4 linked regions of the Schizosaccharomyces pombe genome follow. The protein of the gene in region 4 binds, or shares a complex with, the protein of the main gene of each other region. Each region holds a gene or a part of one and is shown on either strand. Other genes may lie near its edges.

Evidence for each region.
Region 1: dad1 (region 4) and spc34 share a complex: the UniProt entries of both Schizosaccharomyces pombe proteins name them as parts of the DASH complex.
Region 2: dad1 (region 4) and dad3 share a complex: the UniProt entries of both Schizosaccharomyces pombe proteins name them as parts of the DASH complex.
Region 3: dad1 (region 4) and dad5 share a complex: the UniProt entries of both Schizosaccharomyces pombe proteins name them as parts of the DASH complex.

Annotation. Positions count from the first base shown.
Region 1 is NC_003424.3:3,670,757-3,676,720, forward strand, and holds spc34 (DASH complex subunit Spc34), read right to left. Parts: upstream 4,139-5,964; 5' UTR 4,039-4,138; coding exon 3,544-4,038; 3' UTR 2,943-3,543; downstream 1-2,942. Other genes in the region: translation initiation factor eIF2B epsilon subunit tif225, read right to left, coding at 1-340, 410-534, 578-639, 684-741; V-type ATPase inhibitor and disassembly protein in response to oxidative stress Oxr1, read right to left, coding at 1,777-2,343; ABC family Fe transporter Atm1, read left to right, coding at 4,770-5,964. UniProt on the Schizosaccharomyces pombe protein: Component of the DASH complex that connects microtubules with kinetochores and couples microtubule depolymerisation to chromosome movement; it is involved in retrieving kinetochores to the spindle poles before their re-orientation on the spindle in early mitosis and allows microtubule depolymerization to pull chromosomes apart and resist detachment during anaphase.
Region 2 is NC_003424.3:5,226,561-5,232,317, reverse strand, and holds dad3 (DASH complex subunit Dad3), read right to left. Parts: upstream 2,520-5,757; 5' UTR 2,493-2,519; coding exon 2,415-2,492; intron 2,378-2,414; coding exon 2,195-2,377; 3' UTR 1,418-2,194; downstream 1-1,417. Other genes in the region: mek1 (meiosis-specific serine/threonine protein kinase), read right to left, coding at 1-397, 447-981, 1,022-1,178; Smc5-6 complex SMC P-loop ATPase subunit Smc5, read left to right, coding at 2,565-2,617, 2,686-2,851, 2,901-5,757. UniProt on the Schizosaccharomyces pombe protein: Component of the DASH complex that connects microtubules with kinetochores and couples microtubule depolymerisation to chromosome movement; it is involved in retrieving kinetochores to the spindle poles before their re-orientation on the spindle in early mitosis and allows microtubule depolymerization to pull chromosomes apart and resist detachment during anaphase.
Region 3 is NC_003421.2:1,668,214-1,673,660, reverse strand, and holds dad5 (DASH complex subunit Dad5), read left to right. Parts: upstream 1-2,798; 5' UTR 2,799-3,055; coding exon 3,056-3,340; 3' UTR 3,341-3,717; downstream 3,718-5,447. Other genes in the region: SPOM_SPCC417.03 (uncharacterized protein), read right to left, coding at 1,297-1,418, 1,610-1,658; DNA-binding transcription factor, nutrient sensing, zf-GATA-type Gaf1, read left to right, coding at 4,784-5,447. UniProt on the Schizosaccharomyces pombe protein: Component of the DASH complex that connects microtubules with kinetochores and couples microtubule depolymerisation to chromosome movement; it is involved in retrieving kinetochores to the spindle poles before their re-orientation on the spindle in early mitosis and allows microtubule depolymerization to pull chromosomes apart and resist detachment during anaphase.
Region 4 is NC_003424.3:3,085,842-3,091,340, forward strand, and holds dad1 (DASH complex subunit Dad1), read right to left. Parts: upstream 3,500-5,499; 5' UTR 3,485-3,499; coding exon 3,212-3,484; 3' UTR 2,943-3,211; downstream 1-2,942. Other genes in the region: Rho family GTPase Rho4, read left to right, coding at 1,197-1,230, 1,286-1,327, 1,389-1,435, 1,543-1,746, 1,863-1,997, 2,054-2,203; Smc5-6 complex non-SMC SUMO ligase subunit Nse2, read right to left, coding at 3,742-4,206, 4,322-4,444, 4,692-4,856; taz1 (telomere length regulator), read right to left, coding at 5,396-5,499. UniProt on the Schizosaccharomyces pombe protein: Component of the DASH complex that connects microtubules with kinetochores and couples microtubule depolymerisation to chromosome movement; it is involved in retrieving kinetochores to the spindle poles before their re-orientation on the spindle in early mitosis and allows microtubule depolymerization to pull chromosomes apart and resist detachment during anaphase.

The sequences.
Region 1 (5,964 bases), 580 kb from region 4:
TCCCCTTTCGTTAGCTTGATAATGCACGCATTGGCTGGTCTTTTTATCTATCACGAAAACAGAACTCTCTGTACGGGCGCGTGTACGATGAAATGGACTTGCTTCTCGTACAACCATTGTCATAATAGCATTTTTATCATCTTCACGGCGCTTCCGATGTTCTTTCAAAACTTCGTTTAGAGGCACATTGGATACCACATCGCCTGATACGAGTATGAAATCGGAGGTAATTAGCTGTTTTGAATCGAGCTCTCTTAAAGCATCACCAACCGACAGAGATTCTCTTGACACAATCGTGTTTACACTAAAGGGGGAAGAGGGAAGATTCCACTTTGACTTTCTGTGGGTTATATTGTGTTAGTTATATCGTATCAGAAATTCGAATTTAAGACCTCAATTTAGCACATACTCTATATATTCTCGAATTTGTCCTGCATGGGCACAGCAAAATACATAAACTTCTTGCACCCCGGCCAATGCCAAAAACTCAAAAGTGTACTCTATTAAAGGGGTATTTGCTAAAGGAAGAAGACACTAATAATATTAGTACTTAAAGTGTACACTGGTAATTGCATACGCGAGGTTTATCTAATGTAAGAGGGCGAAACCGATAATTATAAGAATCCGACAAAACAATCGCTAAAAATTAGTAACAAACACTTTTTGAATCCCAAAAACATTACCTTGCAGAGCGTGTTTTGGCTTTTCTAGCTTGCCATTCAGCCCTTTGGATGGAGGCATTTCGACAATGTAGAGGGATTAGACATATTTCTCAATATCATTTAAGCCCAAACAGTCATTTAAGGATGCCGTGCTCCACTGCCTTATAACTTAAAGATTATTCTAAACAATTCATCAACTAGAGACTAAAAAGGAATTTATAAAGACGTTAATAATCAAAGAGTAATTAAATTTAGGATATTAAATTTGCATAGCTCATTTCTTTTATAGTTTATTGGCGAAAGAAAGTGGTTTTATTTAAGTAACCACAAAAATTCCACATAATAAACAGAAGATATAAACGGTGATTTATCCTGTTAAGTTGGTAAATTTTGTCAATTTGTTTTCTACAATTGGGTAGTGGTTGCAAACATTTTACTAATCTTATGGTAGTTTATCGAGATTTGAATACAGGTTTCAAGTGTTTACACGGTAATCAAAAAGAAACATAATAAATAAAACTTCATAATAATTATTATTACTGATATAAAGTGGATGGTAGAAATCGATTCGTCAATTAGGGACGATACGAATTGTTGATGAAAAGCAACCACGTGAATAAATATACTAAGTGTAGCATTAAAAGTTATGAATAGAAAAAGAGAAAATTAATAAATAATAGACAATTGGGGAGAAGATATTGGGGATGCTCTTCATTTGATTCGTTCACTCAATGCATAAGGCGTAAAGAAATTAATAGCAAGGATATTCATGCTTGATCAATTAACAAACGTAATCTTCCGGAATTGAGAAGAAGTATTAAAAATTAGCTGATGATAGAAAGCTATACATCACAAATGGGAGGGAAGAGTCCTACGGCTCGAATTTCTGGTAAACTCGATATTCATTGATTGAACATGCAAATCAACGAGTTAACTTGAATTAAGAATAATAATCAATGCATAGAGTCAGCATAAAATTGTCTTTGGTTGAATAAATTAGTCATAAAGAAAGCACGGTAAAATATTAATCTTGATATAAATATAAAACTTGGGCTGATGCACATTTCCGAGTCCATCTTTTATTTTCTTTTTTCTTTTCATTCGTTAGTTGATATTACTCCAATACCCAGAGCTCGATGTCCACGATTTGGATTCGTTGGTCAGGACAGCCACGATAGCTCAAAGGATTGTTTTCGAATGCAGGAGTACGACTAGAGTAAGCGTACTCTAGAGAGCCATCAAGCCAAAGGCTGTATCTTCCATTACCCCCACCAAATGCCAAAAAGCTTTTGGTGCAATATGCAACAAAATTGGAATTTCCTACGAAAGGGTAATGTACATACTTTTTGGGAGGAAAATATTTCCACAAGAAGGTTTCCTCGGAACCAAAGTAATGAGGTGCAGGAATTAAATAATCAGGGATAAAAACTCCAAAAACATCGCCGTCTGTATCGCGCACAGCTAAAATGCAAGCCCCTTTAGGATGGCCGCTTCGAGCTTTTTCCTTTTCGCAGGCTAAGTACATTGTTTGAAGAGATGCGCCGTCATGTTGCAACGAATAGATTCGTTTCCAAGTTTCAGCAGAAGCATATCTTGCTGGCAAGTTCTCAACGATGTGACTGGCCAATTCATCTGTTATTAAGCCGTCTTTAACACTATACTGTCTTGTAAAGTTAAACATTTCAATTGATACAAAATACTTGCTAAAATTTTGTACTCTTATGGTGTGTGTAGTTAGAAAGATTAAGGTGATCCACTAGCCTTATGTAATAAGTAAACAAATAAATAATTGTGAATACAATAACAAACACTGAAATAAACAACAGTAAGTGTATTCTTTAATTTTCCAAAGAAGAAGTTTTTCTTAATAAAGGTATTCTTATTGATCCTTTTTTATTGTTTTTTTTGAGAAATCGAGTAAATAATTTTTTTGGCGTAATGTGTGATTGTTAAGGTGGAGCAGCAGCCTTGGTATTAGCAATTAAAACATTCGTTCAAATTCTATCATTCAGTAACAACAAAAAATAATTATAGTTGACGAGTCAATAGAAACACTATGAACCTGACTTTTACTCTATATTAATAATCAAATATAGAATAAATACATAGTGTTCCATTACTTGCTATCATACTATGCTATTGAACTTTTATTTATATCTTAAATAAAATCTTTTAGAACTTTTAAGAACAAGTATGTACTTATGTTTGTATAAATATTAAGAACTCATTACAACAAATGAGTCCAATGCAAAAGCTGGCGTTGAGCCAGTAATCTAATTGCCGTCTTTAACTTATCATGAACATTATTGTATTTTTCACATACTATTCTATAAATGAGAATATTACAAAAACAATGAGTTATTATGCTCCTGAGTTGTAATGTACTTAGTTTGCTAATTATCTTCGTTCAATATCTTTGCCGCTTTAGAGAATTCCTGGAGCAAACAGTCCAAAGATTCTCTTCTCTTCTCTTTATGTTTTTCATATTCTAGGTATTCATAATCCTCTAGCTCTTTTGTAGCCTTCAAAGTAACAGTAGACGAACTTGCTTTTTTCTTAGCAAGCGACATTTCAATATGCTTTTTAAAGGATGATATATCAAAACATCGACTTCTTTTTTTCCTCTTCAGCTTCATCAGTTTGTATTGGGAGTAAGCCGATCGATCATCTGACGTCGAAGGATAACTGCAATCAGAAATATCTCGGGTGCTTCTTTGAGGATGTAACTTCAAAGGAATGAGTCCATGGTCTTTTATATCCTCGCTTAAATACATTTCTTGTTCTTTGCTCAAATCCATGATAAAACAACGACCTCGCTTCTCCTTTTCTAAATGTTCACCAATACGAAAAGTCGATCTGACTACCAACGCAAATAGCCTTCCTAAGATTGTATCAGTTGCTTCACTTTTTCAATTTCTCTTTCAAGTCTTTGGATTTCAGAAGTTTCACGCTGTAGAATATTCTCCCTAGCAGACACCTGATCGGTTTGTCGTTTTTCAAGTTGCTGCAATTGCTCTTTCTGTTCCAGTAAAACGTTTTCCAAATTCTCAATTCCTGACATATGTAAGTTGTATTTCTCAACCAGAGTCTCCAAATATTCACGGCCACCTTGCATAGGATATATATCTAGTAGTTCCTCAATACAAGCAACGTAGTCTGCAGGGTTTTCTGATGCCAACCTTTCACTCCAATCCTTCGGTAGAGATTTGAACTCAGCTGCAATTAGTTCTTCCTTCTGAGTATCGCGAATTAAATCAGTTATAGCATGAGTATGTAGCACCGCGTCTGTGAAACGTGCTGCGTTTGGGTTTTCCGGTTCCAAAAGTTTTTCTGATGTAGCAGCAATAGACTGTAAATAATTCAACAAATCAGACATTTATTTAATAAGTCATCAAAAACACTAATTCGACTCGTAATTAGTAAAAGGTATGTTTCAATTCACTTTACCAGAGTTGCCAAAAGTGTATGCAATCTCTGGGTGTGTGCAGGTGGTTTAACCAAAACGTAATAAACGTTTGGTATCTTTGATATAATGGAAATCACCTGTGCCTGTTTTTGAAATTCTGTTCTCGCTCAGCAAATTATTTTAACAAAGGTAAAGCATTGCGTTCATTCCTTGCTATTTTCCTTTATTTGCTACACCGAATCATTCTTACGTTTACGCTTTAGGCACACATTTCTTCAGCTCAGATTATCCATTAATAATTATATGTAAAACTTTTATAAAGGTTAATACACGCTAAAAATTTCGTAATCCTCAGTGCAGTTTTGATGAGTTTGCAATTGTTGGACTCTACTTCGCAATCGTGATCTAATCAAAATCTACAACTTTCTAAGTCTGCCAGATTTATAGAACTAAAGGTTTGAGAATTATCCTTCTCTTAGTTCTTTTATTCATATATACCATCTATTAAAAAGTTGCCTCTTTGGAGGCTATTTGAGGTTTTTCTGACTGAACGTTTCGTCTGTTTTTCATATTCTATCAGCCAAGTTTATTCTATTTAAATATAGATTTAAAAACTTTAATTATCTTAAATAGAAGAGCAGTATATTGGGTATAACTAACAGCTTGAAGCTCTGACATCTTAAAGTGTTGTATTAATAAAAATGCTAGAACGATGTCCCTGGAAATTAATCAGCTCGCCAAGAAATATTCCAGCTCGCTCTTTTCTTAATTCTCGTGGAACTTATCTTGTTTTAAGAAAGTCAAATATATTACCTCTTCAACATATACTGCGGTTTTCCAATTTTGCATCTAAGCAATGTTTCCCACTTAGAAATGGAAATAATTCGGCTTCAAAAGCGTTATGGAATAACAAATCAAAAGAAAAAGAGCCACTGAATACTTCTGTTAAACTTGCTTCCGATGTACCAGATGATAAAAATGTAACAGGACAAATGATTGTTAAGGACATGCTTCAATATATTTGGCCCAAGGGGAAGACTAATTTGAAAGTTAGAGTTGTTTCGGCTCTCGCACTACTTGTAGCTGCCAAAATTCTTAACGTCCAAGTTCCTTTTTACTTTAAATCAATTATCGATACCATGAATACAACACTTGTTCAAGAAGTAGGAGCATTGTGGTCTACTGTAGGAGCTGTTGTTCTCGGTTATGGCTTTGCTAGAATATTTTCTACCGTTTTTCAAGAGTTAAGGAATAGCGTTTTTGCAATTGTGTCGCAAAGCGCTATTCGAAGTGTTTCTAGCAATGTCTATCAACATCTGTTGAACCTTGACATGAATTTTCATCTCTCAAAGCAAACAGGAAGTATTACTAGAGCAATGGATCGTGGTACAAAAGGTATTAGTTTCATTCTTTCCTCCATGGTGTTACACATCATTCCTATTACCCTTGAAATTGCTATGGTGAGTGGTATTCTCACTTACAAGTACGGACCTTCGTTTTCGGCCATTGCTGCTACAACCGTTGCTCTTTATGCTCTTTTTACTGTTAGGACGACATCCTGGAGAACTGTATTCCGTCGTCAAGCAAATGCTGCTGACAGTAAAGCATCAGCCGCGGCAATTGAATCTCTGATTAATTATGAAGCCGTTAAAACTTTTAATAACGAATCATACGAAATGAGCAGATATGAAAAGCATCTTTCCGCCTACGAAAAAGCCAACGTTAAGGTAGCATCTTCTTTGGCCTTTTTGAATTCAGGACAGGCTATTATATTCTCTACCGCTCTTACTTTGATGATGTACATGGGTTGTCGTGGAATTGTAACTTCCAACCTTACTGTAGGTGACCTTGTCATGATTAACCAATTAGTATTTCAGTTGTCAATTCCTCTTAACT
Region 2 (5,757 bases), 2.1 Mb from region 4:
CAGCAAAAACATAATTACTCCAAGGCTCCATAAATCGACCTCTTTACCGTAACCAGAAGAATTTTCCTTTTCCACTTGAGACCTTCCTTTTAATCTTTGGATTTCCGGGGCGGTATATTCCGGAGTGCCTACGAAAGTCGAAAGTCTTTTTCCCTTCTGCATACATCTTGCAACACCAAAATCGGTTAAAATGATTCTAAAAATGGTATCAGAGGACGACGCAATGAGAATATTTTCAAGTTTTAAATCCCTGTGAATTATATTCTGCTCATGTAAATATTTTAGCCCTTGTAGAATTTGAAACATAATAAATAAAGTGGTAACTTCAGGAACCGTTCCCAATTTCGTTAAATAACTGAACAAATCTCCTCCCGTCACCATTTCCTCAAATATAAAACTAAGGAATATTAATCATCAAAATAACAAACCGCATTCAATCTACTTACAACTGAGTTTCCGAATTATACTCCATGTTTACTTTGATAATGTTAGGATGATCAAGTTTCCTAAGAATTGTCATCTCGTGGTCCTCGAAAAACCGTTTCGTTGAGATTTTTTTCTTGTCGATGATTTTACACGCGTATTGTCCCCCAGTGTTATTATCCATTGCCATGTAAATGCGCGAGAAGCCACCAATTCCCAATAGTCTTTGAGTGATGTTAAATCTCTCACCCGCATACTCGTGATGAAAATCATTATCAGTAGTGTATTTCTGCTGGAAAAGAAAGGAAGCGCAGTGCCGAACATCGAGTATATCTCCATCCGATAAAAGGACGCTATTGCCTTTACCAATTAAACGATGATTTAAGAATGTTCCATTAGAGCTCTGATCTTCACAATAAACAAGGGGATCCATATCATCATCGATTAGCACCGAATACACTCTAAAGTGCTTATAACTGGCAGTGAATTGCAGAAGCTGATAATTGCATGTATTACTCCTTCCAACAGAAACGTCTTCATATTTCTTAACATTCAGTACTAATATATGTCAAAAATCAATTGAAACAAGAGAACACACCTGTTTGTGGAGAAGATGATGAAAAAACAAACAATCGAGCGAGAACATCATCTTCAGTATATTGAGGATCCATAGTACTTTCGTCTATTTGACTCAATTCACAAAGAATTTGCGTTGATTCAGATCGACTAAGCATGGCATGTGATAAAAAGTCCATAGTTCTTGCTTTTTTTTATATACACTTTGCAAAACGGTGATGCGCGTAAGCAATAAATATATATATACTTTGTAAGACGCGCCTATCAAAACGTAAAAGCAGTGTCTATAACGGTATAAAGACAATACCCATTATTATTACGTTATACCACTATAAACCAAAGTCATTTGGTAATGCCAAAACATACACTTGCCAATATTTTGAAGGATTGGGCTTGACACTATTAAGTATATTAATAAAATATGAACCTCATTGCTTATCAAATATAGTAAATTATGAGAATCCATATTAGTACAAACAGAAGAAACTTTGGATTTCAATCTCGAAGAGAGTTGCTGGCATTTAAATGATTTTTAGTCAAATGCAAGCAGAAGAAAATTTCTCGCTGTATTCACTTTAATGATCCGAGGACAAAAACGAGTCCCAATTGTAAGTTGCTCTTCATAACGAAGAAATTTGAGTATGAATAACCATTACGGTTAGAAAAAAACAAGGAAGGAAACTTATTATTTGATTAAGAAATCAACAGCTTACAACATTGCAGATTCTCATGCAACCCCATTTTCATAACGCTTTTAGGAAAGCTTGAAAACACTTTCGAATCCAGCATGATCTAATAAAATGTTAACAGGCAATTAATCGGAAGATTCATTAGGTCAGTGTTTCCGGGGTAATAGTTTAGAAATATTTAAGGCCGGACTACTTCCAAAGGGTTGTTTTGGATAATTGATTAAAAGTGATCTAACCAACTTTTTAAAAACAATACCCATATTCGTTTCTTGGACATTTTAGCCGAAAAGTGCTTTTTAAAAACCTTCATAAGCTTATATCTTGTGCCTGTTTTTACTCTTCCAAGTAGGATGTATTTTTTTCTCTGTAAAAGTGATTGAAAAATTATCCGGTAAATATTCAGTTCCAAATATTCATAGTAAACCACACGAAAAGCACCAACAGTAGAGTTAAAGCTTAATTTATAGTTCGGTTTGACGTATTTTCAATTTCAAACAAGCACGTTATCAACTTTCATCTTGAAACATGCCGCTTTTACCTTCTTGGTTATTTTCTAGGTCTGCCAAAATCGCCCAAACACTAGCTTTGTAAAGAGTATATACAAGTCCAACCTCCTTTTCTAAATCCCTTAGCGAGTCCAGAATATTGTTGCTGGGATTATAAACCATGTCCTGTAACACCTTAACAAGCTAAATATTAACCAACTGCTGAATAAAAAAGACTTACTGTTTCTAAATTTGATGCAAGATTAGCATATTCAGCTAAAATTTGATTCTGGAGAGCTCTTTTTTCCTCTAAACTCATTGTACCTTGCCTTGCATAAGCACTTTGCTCTCAGCAAACTCCTAGTTGACTGAAATCCTCCTTACTTCCACCATGGATGGCCTTAGGCCTTCGAAACGAAGAAAAAGTAATCCTTTGTATTCAGAGTAAGTTATAGCTTTTTTCTATTTAGTATTTCTGCTTTTTATACTTCGATGATCTTAACACGCGAGAGTTACGCGTTAGGAAGTATTGTACGAATTAAATTAGTGAACTTTGTTACATACGATTATTGTGAACTGTTCCCTGGTCCATATCTAAATTTGATTATCGGTCCAAATGGGACAGGTAAGAGCACAATTGTTTCAGCAATATGCATTGGGCTGGGATGGCCCCCAAAAGTAAGTCTTTCAATATTATAAAAAATAACTTAATTGATTAACGATTTAGCTACTTGGGAGAGCTAAAGAGGCCCGTGAATTTATAAAGTATGGCAAAAACACTGCAACCATAGAAATTGAAATGAAGTATCGTGACGATGAAACGGTTACTATCACGAGACAAATAAGCCAGGATAAGAGTAGTTCTTTCTCTATTAATAGGGAAGCATGTGCCACTTCTTCAATAACGTCTCTAATGGATACTTTCAATGTACAATTGAATAATCTTTGTCATTTTTTACCACAAGACCGTGTTGCAGAATTCGCTCAGCTTGATCCTTATTCTAGACTGATGGAAACTGAGCGTGCAATTGACCATGAAGGGTTACTTCCCGCACATGAGAAGCTTATTGATTTACGAAAACGAGAAAGGGAAATTTTACAAAATAAAAACCAAGGACAATCAACATTAAATTCATTAAAAGATAGACAACAGGCACTAGAGAAGGAAGTCAATATATTTAAAGAACGGGAAAAAATCAAATCATACATCGAAATGCTAGGGTTAGCTAAAATGTTAGTTATATACAGAGAGAAAACCAATGTCTTTAACCAACTTCGTGCAGACAAAAAAAAATTAAAAAAGGATTTGAAAGACCTAGTGGAAGAATTTCAACCTATTTTGGATAAAGGTGAAGAGCTGCGTTCGGATTTAAAACTAAAAGATGATACATTTAACGATTACTCCTCCGCTTCGATGGAACTTAATACCTCAAATTTAAGAGCCAGAGCTTCTTTTTCGAATTTCATGGAGAACGAGAAAAAGCTTTATGAGAAGGTTAATACCAATCGAACACTTTTACGGAATGCAAATCTTACATTAAATGAAGCACAACAATCGGTGAAGTCATTAACAGAAAGACAAGGCCCAAGACCTTCGGATAACGGTGTTCAAGATCTACAAGAAAAGATGCAAGAAGTTAATGCGGAAAAACTTCAACATGAAAACGAGAAACTTGAGAGCTCTCATGAACTAGGTAGTATCAGAACATTGAAAGCACAAAAGCTTATTGACCTTGATAACATTAAAAGAGAGTTGTCCTACTACAACGATGCTACGAAAAGGAAACTAGACTTTATGTCTTCTGCTCCAGGCTGGGAAGATGCTTATCAGACGTATCAGTTATTGAAGGAATACGAATCTGCGTTTGAAGCACCCGCATACGGCCCAATTTATATGAATTTGAAATGTAAGGAAAAAGGGTTTGCAGCTTTGATAGAAGGGTTTTTTCGCACGGATACGTTTCGAACATTTATAATGTCAAATTATAATGATTATCTAAAGTTAATGGATCTTATCACTTCAAAAACTAAGTACACTCCTACTATAAGAGAATTCTCCAGTGAACGAAAAAAGAAGATAGAAGATTTTGAACCTCCATGCTCTCGTGAGAAGCTTCAGTCTTTCGGGTTTGACGGATATGTGATCGATTTTTTAGAGGGGCCAGAAGTGGTTTTGGTTGCTTTGTGCCATATGTTAAAAATTCATCAAATTCCGATTGCAAAAAGGGAACTACCTCCCGCATCAGTGAATGCGTTAAACAATTTTCGTCTGGCTAACGGGGATCCAGTTCTTAAAACTTACTTGGCGGGCTCATCTATCCACTTGGTTTTTCGTTCAGCTTACGGTGATAGAGAAATTACTAGGCGAACAGACCCATTACCTTCTCGCAGTATATATTTTTCCGAGAACGTTGAGATGGATTTGGTAAAGCGAAAGGAGGAGCAACTAAATGCTCAACTCTCTCAATTGGAAAATTTACAGAATGAGGAAAGAAAGTTACAAGAAAAGGTAAATGAGCACGAATCGCTGCTTTCTCGTACAAACGATATATTATCTACTCTACGAAAAGAGCGTGACGAAAAATTAATTCCTATTCACGAATGGCAACAATTACAAGAAAGAATAGAACACCAAACTCTTCTACTAAGACAAAGAGAGAAAGTTCCTGAGCAATTTGCAGCTGAAATTGAAAAAAATGAAGATATCAGGAAAGAGAACTTCGAAGCTCTTATGAATTCGGTGTTAAAAGTTAAGGAGAATTCAATTAAAGCTACGAATAATTTCGAGAAGATGTTGGGAAGTAGACTTAATGTCATAGAAGCGAAATACAAACTTGAAAAACACGAGATGGATGCCAACCAAGTCAACGCTCGATTGACAGAAGTACAAGATCGTCTTAAAGATATTACCGATAAGTTAGCCTCAGCAAGGGAGGATGCTATGTCCTTGTACGGTTCAGTGGTTGATTCATTGCAGACACAATCATCTGACAGACAAACGGCAATAACTGAATTAAATGAAGAATTTGCTACTAGTTCGGAAGTGGATAACAAAATTAGCATCGAAGAAACGAAACTGAAGTTTATGAATGTTAATAGTTACGTTATGGAACAATATGATGCGCGTAAAAAAGAAATTGAGGAACTAGAATCGAAAATGTCAGACTTTGATCAATCCGTTGAAGAGCTCCAAGACGAGATGAACTCAATCAAAGAGGATTGGGTTAGTAAGTTAGAGGAGAATGTTCAATGTATTAGCGATAGATTTTCTAAAGGAATGAGTGGAATGGGATATGCTGGAGAAGTTCGACTAGGGAAATCCGACGATTATGATAAATGGTATATCGATATTTTAGTACAATTTCGAGAGGAAGAAGGACTTCAAAAACTTACGGGTCAACGACAATCTGGTGGAGAACGTTCTGTATCTACTATAATGTATTTATTATCTTTACAAGGTTTGGCAATTGCTCCGTTTCGAATAGTTGATGAAATAAATCAAGGAATGGATCCTCGAAATGAACGAGTTGTGCATAGGCATATCGTCAATTCAGTGTGTGACAACGCTGTTTCACAATACTTCT
Region 3 (5,447 bases), on a different chromosome or scaffold from region 4:
AAAATGAATTGATAAGCACAACATTTGACAGGGAATGAAAAATGTTCGTTTAACGGGGGTGGGATTTTAAAAATTTCATTTTTTACGCATTCAGGTGCTGAGAAAGACAAAACGTATGGAAGATCGTTAAACGAAGTAAGAAAAGAGAAGAAGAGAAAAGTGATGATTTGCAAAGGCTTCTCTAATGTTTCTTTTAGTATGGATACCTCAATAGAAAAAGTCAAAGACCCAAAAAAAAAATAAAATAAAGGTCCTTCTGATGAACAACAAAAACTTTTTTTTACCTCTATTCTTTTGCTCGATAACAAATGGAATGCTTTAGATTTCGAAAGACTTTTATTAATCATGTTATCAAGTGTTCCTCCATCATCATCTTCCTTGTATACGGATATGTCGAGGAATGTAATAGACTGGGCCAACTAAGCAAGTCATGTTTGATAGGCGATTTCTCAGCCAAAGTGGGTAGACTGTATTTGTATGGTTTTGATCATTTTTGGTACTAGTCAGTTTCATGTAAAGTTTGGATTTAATTATTGGGTTTGACTCAAATCTCAATTTCATATTTGTGTTAATGTTAGTTTCATTCATATACTTTCGTCAGCATTTGTTTATGAAATTTCATGTTTCTTTTGCGAGCTCTTTTACTACTGCCCCATCTAGTCTGCATCCGTTCTCATTATCAAGAAATACTGCGGTACTGGTGCGAGGGTAGATGATTATCAAGGTAGGATGAAAATCCGCTCCACAAAGTTGTTAGTGATAAGTGGTAAAAGACGGTATGTGTTTGAGGTAACCATAATCGCCAAGATAGACAAGATGCAAGTGGAGCATTGTCGGCGTTAAAGTTAGTATTTTGATTTGTTTGAGCTATCAACATGAGTAAGTGTGCGGCGGCAGGCGAGTCGCAAAAGGAAAAAAAAAAGCCTTCATTTAGTTATCAGAGCATCGCCGACGTATACCTTTTTTCCATTGATAAATTTGTGTTAGTCAGTGCAGTTGTTCAACACAATCGGTCCTCCGTTTATCGGTAGCTCTTTTTTGCACTTTGACAAAGCACAAAATTCGTTTACATGCAATCATCTATTACGGATGTAAATGTCCGTCATAATCAAAGGAATGCCAACAACGCCAAGTGAAAGCGAGATGAGTTGGGAAAATAGGATCGCAATTTGACATTCCTACGTCTTCCTACGTCTTTCTTGGAATGAAGTAATCAACTCTTCGTAAATTAGCAGGGACGAGGAAAATATGCGACTGTTATCATTTTTAGCGCAATAAGGATAAGAAATGAGTGATTTAGGAAATAAGCAACTGGGAGATATCCATTATCACTTCCATAAGCGATAATGATAAACCGCAGGAAAAACACGTGTGAGCATGAAAAAGGGTATATATACATAGACGGAAAGGGGCTTCATCTTTTCTTTTTCTTTTGTTAGGGGCGTGGTGAATGGAAGTATTTCTTTGTTTTATGGGGAAGCGTACAAAATTGTGAAACGAAACGATGTATGTGTATGGAGTGTAGGAGTCATTCATTTTCATGAAAGAAACTATAATAAAAATGGGGTATATGATTAGAAAGGGATGAGTGAATGTTTGAAAAAATTACTTATAAAATGGTAATGAATATGATTAGAAAAAGCGGTATGAGGAAGCATGGTTACTAAATGAACCAACTTGATTATATAAAAAAAAAGAAACAAATTAAAAACTAATTTTCATCTAACTCAGGAATTCCTCCTTTGAAAATAGCCAAACATTAACTAAAAAAATTAAAAAAAAAAAAAGTAGAAAAAAAATGTAAATATTACAAATACTTCCCAAACTCCCATAAAGCATTCTATGACGATTTCCTTACACCAAGCAATTTTCCTGTTGGATTTTATTTGTCTCGACTGGTTTGTGTATCCCTGTTTCCTTTCTTTTGTTTCCAAGAGAATCATTTCCAGGGAATTGATACATTTGTCCATGCTAAGATAAAATCCATTGTTCGGTCAACTCACTTCCGATATATCTGAAACGAAAAAACAAAACCTGATTAGAAAAGCTATATGTTTTCACATATAAGAAGACTATATGTCAAACCCCATCCTAGCGTCGATATGAAATGGAACTCTGTGAAATGATAGATGTGGGGGACCTAAAAGATAAACCCCAGTGTAGTGAAATCTCGATGCTTTTGAAACTGAATAAAACCCGAGGATATTAAGACAAGTAGTTTATTAAAAAAAAAGGTTTTCCGATCGTAGTTGAGTAAAGTTTGAAAATTCAAACAATAATTAAAACAACGGATGCACATCACGCTGCTGCGTCTTCTCTTGCACGGACATTGACTTCCGTATGTAATTTGTCTAACGATCGTGCTCTTTCCATTTCTTTTTTCCTTTAAAATACTCATTTGCCTATCTTCCTCATAAGATGCCTAGCATGTCGAGCTTACGGAGAATTTTTATTTCCTTTGATTTGGACAAAGCACCTCATCCAACATGATTGTGATCGGAGCTTTGGAGCACTTTTCATCAGTTCCGTCTTCATCCTCCTTCTACACTTCCATGGAAATTATGCAAAACTTGATAATTCCATCCTTACCAATAATTTTGCCTATTTCCACGGAACTGACCCGAAAAATTTAGCAAAAGGAACGATTTCGGTATTACTTATTAGCTTGGAAATTATGTCTCGCTAAACCATATAACGAAAGTTTGGTTTTTTATCAGTAAGCGAAAAATTTACCGTCCCCCTTTTCCTTCTTGTCAGCTACATAAAAGATAGGTGCGCTGCGCTGGTCGCCTTTTTCTGCCACTCTTTCCACGCTATTTTACGCTCTTATTCATTTTTGAGGAATACTAACGTCGGCCGGTATTGTTGGAAATCGCTGCAATTTGTTAAATTGAAATACCACTCAAGTGGGTAATGGTCTCCTTTAATTGTCGATACTGAAGGTTGATTGCATTTTAGTGCGGTGTCTTAAAAGCTGCACTCGCCCATCACACACGCGTTTGGTTTGTTTACCTTCCATCTACCTGTCTGCCTTCTTTCACTTTCACCTTACACCATGCGTCGTTCTACCATTGTGCCAACTAGTCGAACAAGCAGTTCATCTCCATCTCCCAGTCAAATGAAAAGCTTTCAAATGAATCGTTTGGTGGACCAACTGTCCAAGTTGCAATCCAACATGTCTCATTTGGAAAACCACTTACATGTTACCGCAATTCAAGCAGAAGCCATCCGACGTCTTGGTGCTCTTCAGGCCTCGCTTCTGATGGCGTCTGGTCGCGTTATGTCCGAAGCGAGGATTCAAAAGTCTTCAGATGCTGTGGAAGAAGACGTTCCTATGTGAGTCTCCAACTTTTTTGATGCAGACCTCAAATGACAATGATAAAAAGGAGAATACAAGAGACAAAGTGCCCCAATGAAGGAGAAATATAACAGGAAAGGAAGTAGGAATGTGCTCTTTCTTAATTAGATGGGGCTATTTCTTATTTTACTGCAACAATGCGGTATTTGGGGCTTCTTTCAATATGTGGGTGTTGGAGTTGTATCAACTATGCATCCGGAATACGGCTTTTCGGCATTTTACGCTATGGGAGTTTTGCGACTCTCGGGCTGCACTCCCGAAACCTATGTTACTGCATTGTACGATGCAGTTCTGTAAAAAATAGCAGGCTAAAAGAGGGTGTTCTAGTTCGTCTAATAAGTGATCTCGTTCATTGGTCAGCTCGGTCGGCTAAGTAACCAAGGGAAACTGCAAAAATTGGATACCAGAAATGATTGGTCAATTGCGCTTCACAAAACAGTCAGTGTACCAATCATATGGTTTTTATTTGAGATAGCGCACAATCATTGGATAGCTAGCTAAAAAAAGGTAAAAGTGGTTCCTTTCGTTAGGCTTCTTTATTTTCACCTTACGATTTACCGAAGAGAGCTTCTTCGACCTCGCTTAGATGGGTGTGAACAACGCCGTCCCTTTGCCAACCTCAACGAAAAAAGAAAAGCAGGTTGTACTAATTTTAAACGTTTCAAACGATTTTGTAAATTGATTTCTTTAAGCTTTGGCTCCTCCTTATTACATACCTAATCAATAAATATCTGTTTTCTTTTGCAGTTTCTTCTTTTTTTGCTCTCTTCCAGGGAAAACGGAAATTTGATTTGAGGAAGCCATAGCGCCACCATTCCCCAATCTGTCTACAAATTACTTTTTTTTGTTCCACCACACCTCTGGATTGTATTCTAGCTTATATCTGTTTTATTTTTCTATATTTGTTTTGGTATTTTAGTTCGTTTTTGTTGTTTTATTTCCCCTTTTTAGATCGTTTTTGTTTTGGGGTTCACGTCTTTTTTGTTTAAAGTACCTGTTCATATCAAAGCAACTTGAACTTCTTGCTATTTTTACCTTCGCTCGTGTGGTTTGCACAATCATTTCAAAGTAGTACCTAACTAAACAACGTTGTTGGTGTGTCTTGGTATTCACTGCCATTTCGTGTTTTCCATTTAAAGAAGCTTTCTTGGTCCTAGCTTAAGATTTCCTGTTTTTTTATATCTTACCTTATATTATTATTTTTTTGTGATTTTTTACTACAACTTTTTTTTTGTTTAACGTTTGAGAGGCGATCTCTTTCGTTCATTTCATTCGTTTATTTTTTGTTTCGGTTTTTTATTCGGAAACTTCCCTTTTTCTTTCTTATCCACATTTCAAGCTGGCTGAAGTTACTGATTTTTTGGGTATCATTTTTGGATATATCCCTGCTTTGTGATTAAACATTTTTTGCATAAAACCTTACTTATGGATCTAAAGTTTTCCAATTTTTTCAAGGAAGCGGAACATCCAGCACTTGTCAAAAAATTTGACAAATCTACCACGGACGAATCTTCCTCCAAAGAAGATTATTCCACGATGTCAGACCTCTGGAAAATGTTTTCCAAGGCAAAGTCGGAACTGTCTAATGGTCGTCGTGTCGAGAACTTGACATGGCGTTTAATGTCTATAAATTTGCAAAAGAACTTAACACCAAATGGTGATTCAAATACTTTAACCCCAGACACTTTCTCTGATCCCACTGCCCCTTCTAGTGCTCAATCCGTTCCTCCTACTTCTTCTGCTGAAACCACTGCCGATAACTCAGATACTGAAATGAAATTAAACCCAATACCTGCATATAGCGTACCTGCTGATACCACTGGAAGCTCGTTGATGGAATTTAATTATATTCAGCGTCGCGTGCGTAAAACAAGCTTTGACGAGTCTACTGCAAAAAGTAAAAAGCGCTCTATTGCCGATTCTCATTTTCCAGATCCCAATGCTATGCAAAGACCCCATGATTTGGAATCCCAACCATTTAGCTACCCAAAGATTCATGCTTCTAATTCTTTTAATTTCGTTAAGAGAGACATTGACAGCTCTAATTTTTCTAATCTTGACGCCTCAGCATTGCCTATATCTCCTCCTT
Region 4 (5,499 bases):
CAAACTGAAAAGCTAAACAGACTACTCGTTCTTTCTAGTAGACAGTATACAGGTTTTGGAATAGCAAACTATACTTAAGGCCTATGAATCATTTCCTTCAAACTTTCAAATCAATCACCAAGCCCTCAAGAACCGTTTGATTAATTTTCCTTGTCAACCTTCTAAGCATGGGCGTTGCGTTGAGTATAAACAAAACAGCAATAAATCCGAGTATACATGAATTGTTTCCTTCTTCAAACAAAACGCTGTTACCTTTGCGCGTATGATGACTTCCCATACTTACAAAAATTTTCAAAACCTAACAGTAATCTATAAATTTTAAGGGCTAACATTACATTCAAAAGTTATTAGAATGTTGCTAATAAATAGCCAGAACATTATTTTTATTATTCATTCTCATTTCTTACTTATTTAAGTGAATTAAAGAAAATGCGTAAATTAGATTTAATCCGTTAAAGTACAAGCAAGTCCCGAGTGGCTCAATCGGTTTAGAGCGTCTGACTCTTATGATGGTCATCAGAAGGTTGCGAGTTCGAGTCTCGCCTTGGGAGTTAATTTTTTGGTTATGGTACTTCAAGGCCAAGTAGAATAATCAATTAATTATTATGTATTTTTACTTCAATAATTTAGTTCCCAAAACCCGTTACTTTATTAATTAGTATAAGCTGATGAATTCACTTATTGAGTCGCCAACTTAACGATGAGGTGTTAGACTAGCCTGCCATATATACTTTTGGCGGTAAATATTTCAATTTCGTTAGGTATTTTTATCTAACTAATGTACACGTTTCTAGCAACCTGAAATGTAGGCTTGTAGAACTAGTTGAAAACAGAACGTTTGGATTATATGAATGATAATGAATACACCGAGCATCTTTTATTAGGCAGACTCAACAATTGACAACTTTGCAATGTCCATTGAATCCTAAAAATAAAAATAGACAGGTATATATACCTATAATTTTTTTGGTGGCTAACAACCTAACTTTTTCAATTAAAACAATTAACCGGCATAGTCCTTCGTAAATTCCATGCACACTTGATAAATTTAAATATGTTTCATCGCGGATATTCCGTTTACTGTTTTATATATTTATTTACCTATTGTTTACGTGCTGCGTTGTCATGGCAATGTTTAGCTTGGAAATACCAGCAATCTCAGCTGGTAAGCAAACATTAACAACAACAAAGGCAATATGTCTGCTTTCAAAAAGAGTGGATCCAAGTCAGGTAATTCAATTGTTCCTTTTTCTCAAATATCTTAAAGTTTTTGCTAATTTTTCAGAGACTTCAAAGAAACTTGTGGTCGTAGGAGATGGCGGTTGTGGTATGCTTGATAAATATAGGTGAATGACAGCTGGTCTAATGTACTAATGCTTGATGTATAGGAAAGACATGTCTTTTAATTGTATTCTCAAGCGGAACTTTTCCCGAGGTATGCCAATAGATCGAACAATAACTGTTTAAGTGCAGTGTTCATATGATTCATGTACTCAGTTCACTTGAATTATCTAAGTATACTGATTTCTAACATCATGCTAGAGATATGTGCCTACAGTGTTTGAAAATTATATCACCGATATAACATATGGACCGAACAGCAAAGTTATTGAACTTGCTTTGTGGGATACTGCTGGTCAGGAGGAATATGATCGTTTACGTCCTCTAAGTTACCCGAATAGCAACGTTATTTTGTTGTGTTTCTCAATTGATTGTCCGGCTTCTCTGAATAACGTTACGGAGAAGGTATGTGCTCTATAATTTATATTGCTAAACGTAGCTTTGGGTTTCTTCAATGTCATTTGCGTCTAGCCATTAGTATTTCATCTTTCTCATATTATTTTCTAACATTTTTCTTTCAGTGGTATCCTGAAGTTCAACACTTTTGCCCTAGAACTCCCATCGTTCTCGTCGGGCTAAAAGCGGATTTACGCAAAGATAGGAATGCTACTGAAGTACTAAGAACCCAGGGTTTAACACCAGTAACCTACCAACAAGTATGTCAATGATAAGCTAACTTTTTTCTTTCGTTTATTTTTTTTAACATATTTAGGCTCAATCCGTTGCTTTATCAATGAACGCTCCATATGTCGAATGCTCTGCCAAAGAAAACACTGGTGTAAATGAAGTTTTTCAACTTGCTGTTGGCCTCACTATAAAAAAATCATTTTCGTTTTCTAAAAAGTCTTGCGTGATTTTATAATATCTTGATCATGGCCTTTATTTACTTAATCTTACCATTTTTGATGTCTTCATTTTTGCTTCGCCTATTTGTATAGCATTTGATGAGATTGTTGGAACATAAGAAGCAAGAAAAACGCTTTATTTACGCATTCTAACATTGCTAATTGCATATAAACCAATACTCCAAACGTTTGCTGCAATAGAGACATTATGCTTGTATGCTTTCTTTTAATCTAAGCATATTGTGTAGCAGTTTCCTTTTCAGAATTTTGCTCCTATCTCAACTTTTTATCTTTTCAGGTATTTAACTAGCCAATATGGTTTAGATGGATTATCGACTATTGGAGCTATTTTGTGATTTATAATTTGTTTATTAAGACGTTATCTGTTTGATTCTGAATATATGTCAGCAAAAATCAATTGGTCTTAATGTTTTTTTTTACTTTTACTTCAAATATGCCTATATTTGTCCGAAACTTTGAAAATCGGTTTTTTAACCCTGACTGGTTCAGGGTATTCATGTCGTGAATAAAACGATAGTTATATAGAAGATATTGAAATGAATACTTATGATTCCTTTTACCTTTTTATTATGCTAAACTGCATTAAACCCCTTTTATAATTTAAATAATACCATTAAAATGGTAATTTCTAAAAGGATTCGTATAGTAGTAAAGAAAAAGTTTACTATGCAAATATTAACATCAACAGTTGTTCTGCCTCTCAGACGATGAACGGCTTATTTAAAAATTGGCAGCTTTTAGAAGAATATAGGAAGATTAAAAACTAATATATATATACAAACACATTATTAATGAAGTGACTTAAGGTTTGTGTATTGTAATATGTAAGTTAATTTAAAAGAATCCTGACCTTTGACCAATTTTTGAGGACGCTATTAAATTTATAGATTCATAAAAAACATATAATAACTAATAATTTAATTTAATATGCAAATTCTTTGAAACAAACTGCGTTAAGGCATATGTTTAGCGGCAATGAAAATACATTTAGAAAAGAACGACCATCAAGGTGCATCTAGCATTTCACGATCTTTCTTCTGTAACACTGAATTTTGAAACTCCTTCCAAAGAGACGCGACATTTTCAAATTCCTTTCCAACACCGTTAATGCTTTCAAGATTTTTATTTAGAGCTGACATAAGATTCACAACTTCATTCATACTTTTTGAAATTTGTAAGGTCAAAAGACGACGCCTTCTTTCAAAATCTATATCATCAAAATCTTTATTTTGCTCATTTTGTATGTTTTCAGTAATATCCATATTTTCTGAGGACATGGTATGTTAATGGCTAGTGTCAAAGTCAAGCATGAGCCAAAGTTTATCATAAGGTTACAATCAAGTAGATCTTATATTAGATTTAACTATCTTCATAATTAAATGCCAAAATTGAAGCTTCCGTACGAGCATAGAATATTAGTCAAAAGAGACATGTTATGCATATTTACAAGTTGGAATAAACAAATACATTAAATATAATAATAATAATAATAATAATAAATCCGGATCAGTACTACAATGTAAATAGAAAAGGACTAAGCTTCTTTTAAATTACTTATTTCCTGAGCGCGGCGTAATCTGCGTTCAAGAATCTCATCTTCCTTAAGTAAAGACCTTTGTAAACGAGCTTCACATCCTACAACAGGGCATACACAAGTTGGATTTAACAGAGACAAAATAGCATCTTTTTCATAAAAATGATTACAGGCTGTCGATAATATTGGGTGAACAATTGGTTGTAAAGTTAAAGGGCATCTGTTATCAAAGGTAGCTGAATATACCATCACTTCATCTGCTTCCTGTTCTTCAGTGTTCATGACATTAAAAAATGTTTTCATAGAAGGAAAGTCAGAACCGTCTGTATTTTGCTCATGCCATATGGTTTTTTTAAATTCAATGTATTCTCCTTGTGTGCCATATTTACCATAGTCGGATTTTTCTTCGTATTCTTGAATGAGTTCCTTAAAAATTTGTGTATAAATATCCAACAAACTTTTATTCTAATTTTGTTAGAACAATTGAATATGAAACAGTAAAAAAATACGTCTAAATTGATGTTTTTACTTCATCTACATATAATAGAAAAAGTAGGAAAGTCATTTCCGTGGTACGTACTTCAAAATCACTTATATTTTCACTGGTTTTGTTAGCCAATGTATCCACCGATTGCTGCATCAATAACAATCTCTGCTTTGCATCCAACAGCTCTCGGATCCCGCTATCAAGCATGTCCAAACACTAAAAGGCAAGTGTTAGTCAGAAGTCATAAAGTAAGCAGCATGTCATATTATGTCTATTTTAGGCTCTCTCTCAATAGCCGGAAATAAGAGGAAGAAAAATATTAGTTAAACAATGTTTTTGTATGTATATTTGTACAGCGAACTTCTTTTTAAAAAACTGTATCTCGACATAACACCACTTTCGAGTTTTAAAAGCAATTCATATTAATTTTTTCCATTATCTTTCGTAATAATGGTACACATACCTCATTATTTTTTATCTCAGCAGCAACTAGAGCACATTTTATCACCTGTTTAATTGAATCGTCAATTTCCTTCAATTGGAAGTCGAAACTGCAATGATTTTGGTTTCCAGGTAATAAATTTTGACTTAAAGCCTCCAAGGAAGTTTTTAATTGTGCTTCACTCATTTACGATTCCATTCGAGAAAGAAGTAGTTACGACGTTTAATTAGTAGACAACGCAATTTGGGATTGAAAACCTATTAATTGCATATGAAAACTAAATGCCACAACACTTATTTCCTTAAATAAAAAAAGAATGTTTTTTAAGCAAGGGTAATAACCACGTTTTAAAATTTAAACTCCAGTACGTTTTTATGAAGATTGATGGCATATGTATAAAGACTAAATAAATTCTTATTTACTGTCACGTTTAATACAAATGAATGGGTTATGAAATATTCTCATTTGGAATTAGAATTTATAATGCATACTTCGGACAATTAACGCTTGACTTTTAGTACCTCTATTACTAAACCAACTATTCAATATGATAAACCAATAAAGGATGATTAAGGCCGTGAAATGTATAAATTAAATTATGTTATTTTCAAAATATTCCATAGATTAGTAGTAAAGTAAAACACGATTAACAAAACTATCCGAGTCTTGTCAATATTATTCATTAAAAAAGCAATCATGAACAAACTCTATCCGGAGACGAAAAATTAAGATTGATAATTAACAAGCTCTTCCCGTAAAAGTGGCGGAGTTGCCTCTATGTAAGGTATTTTATGAAGTTCACAATAGGCCTGGCCCACAGTAACATTTT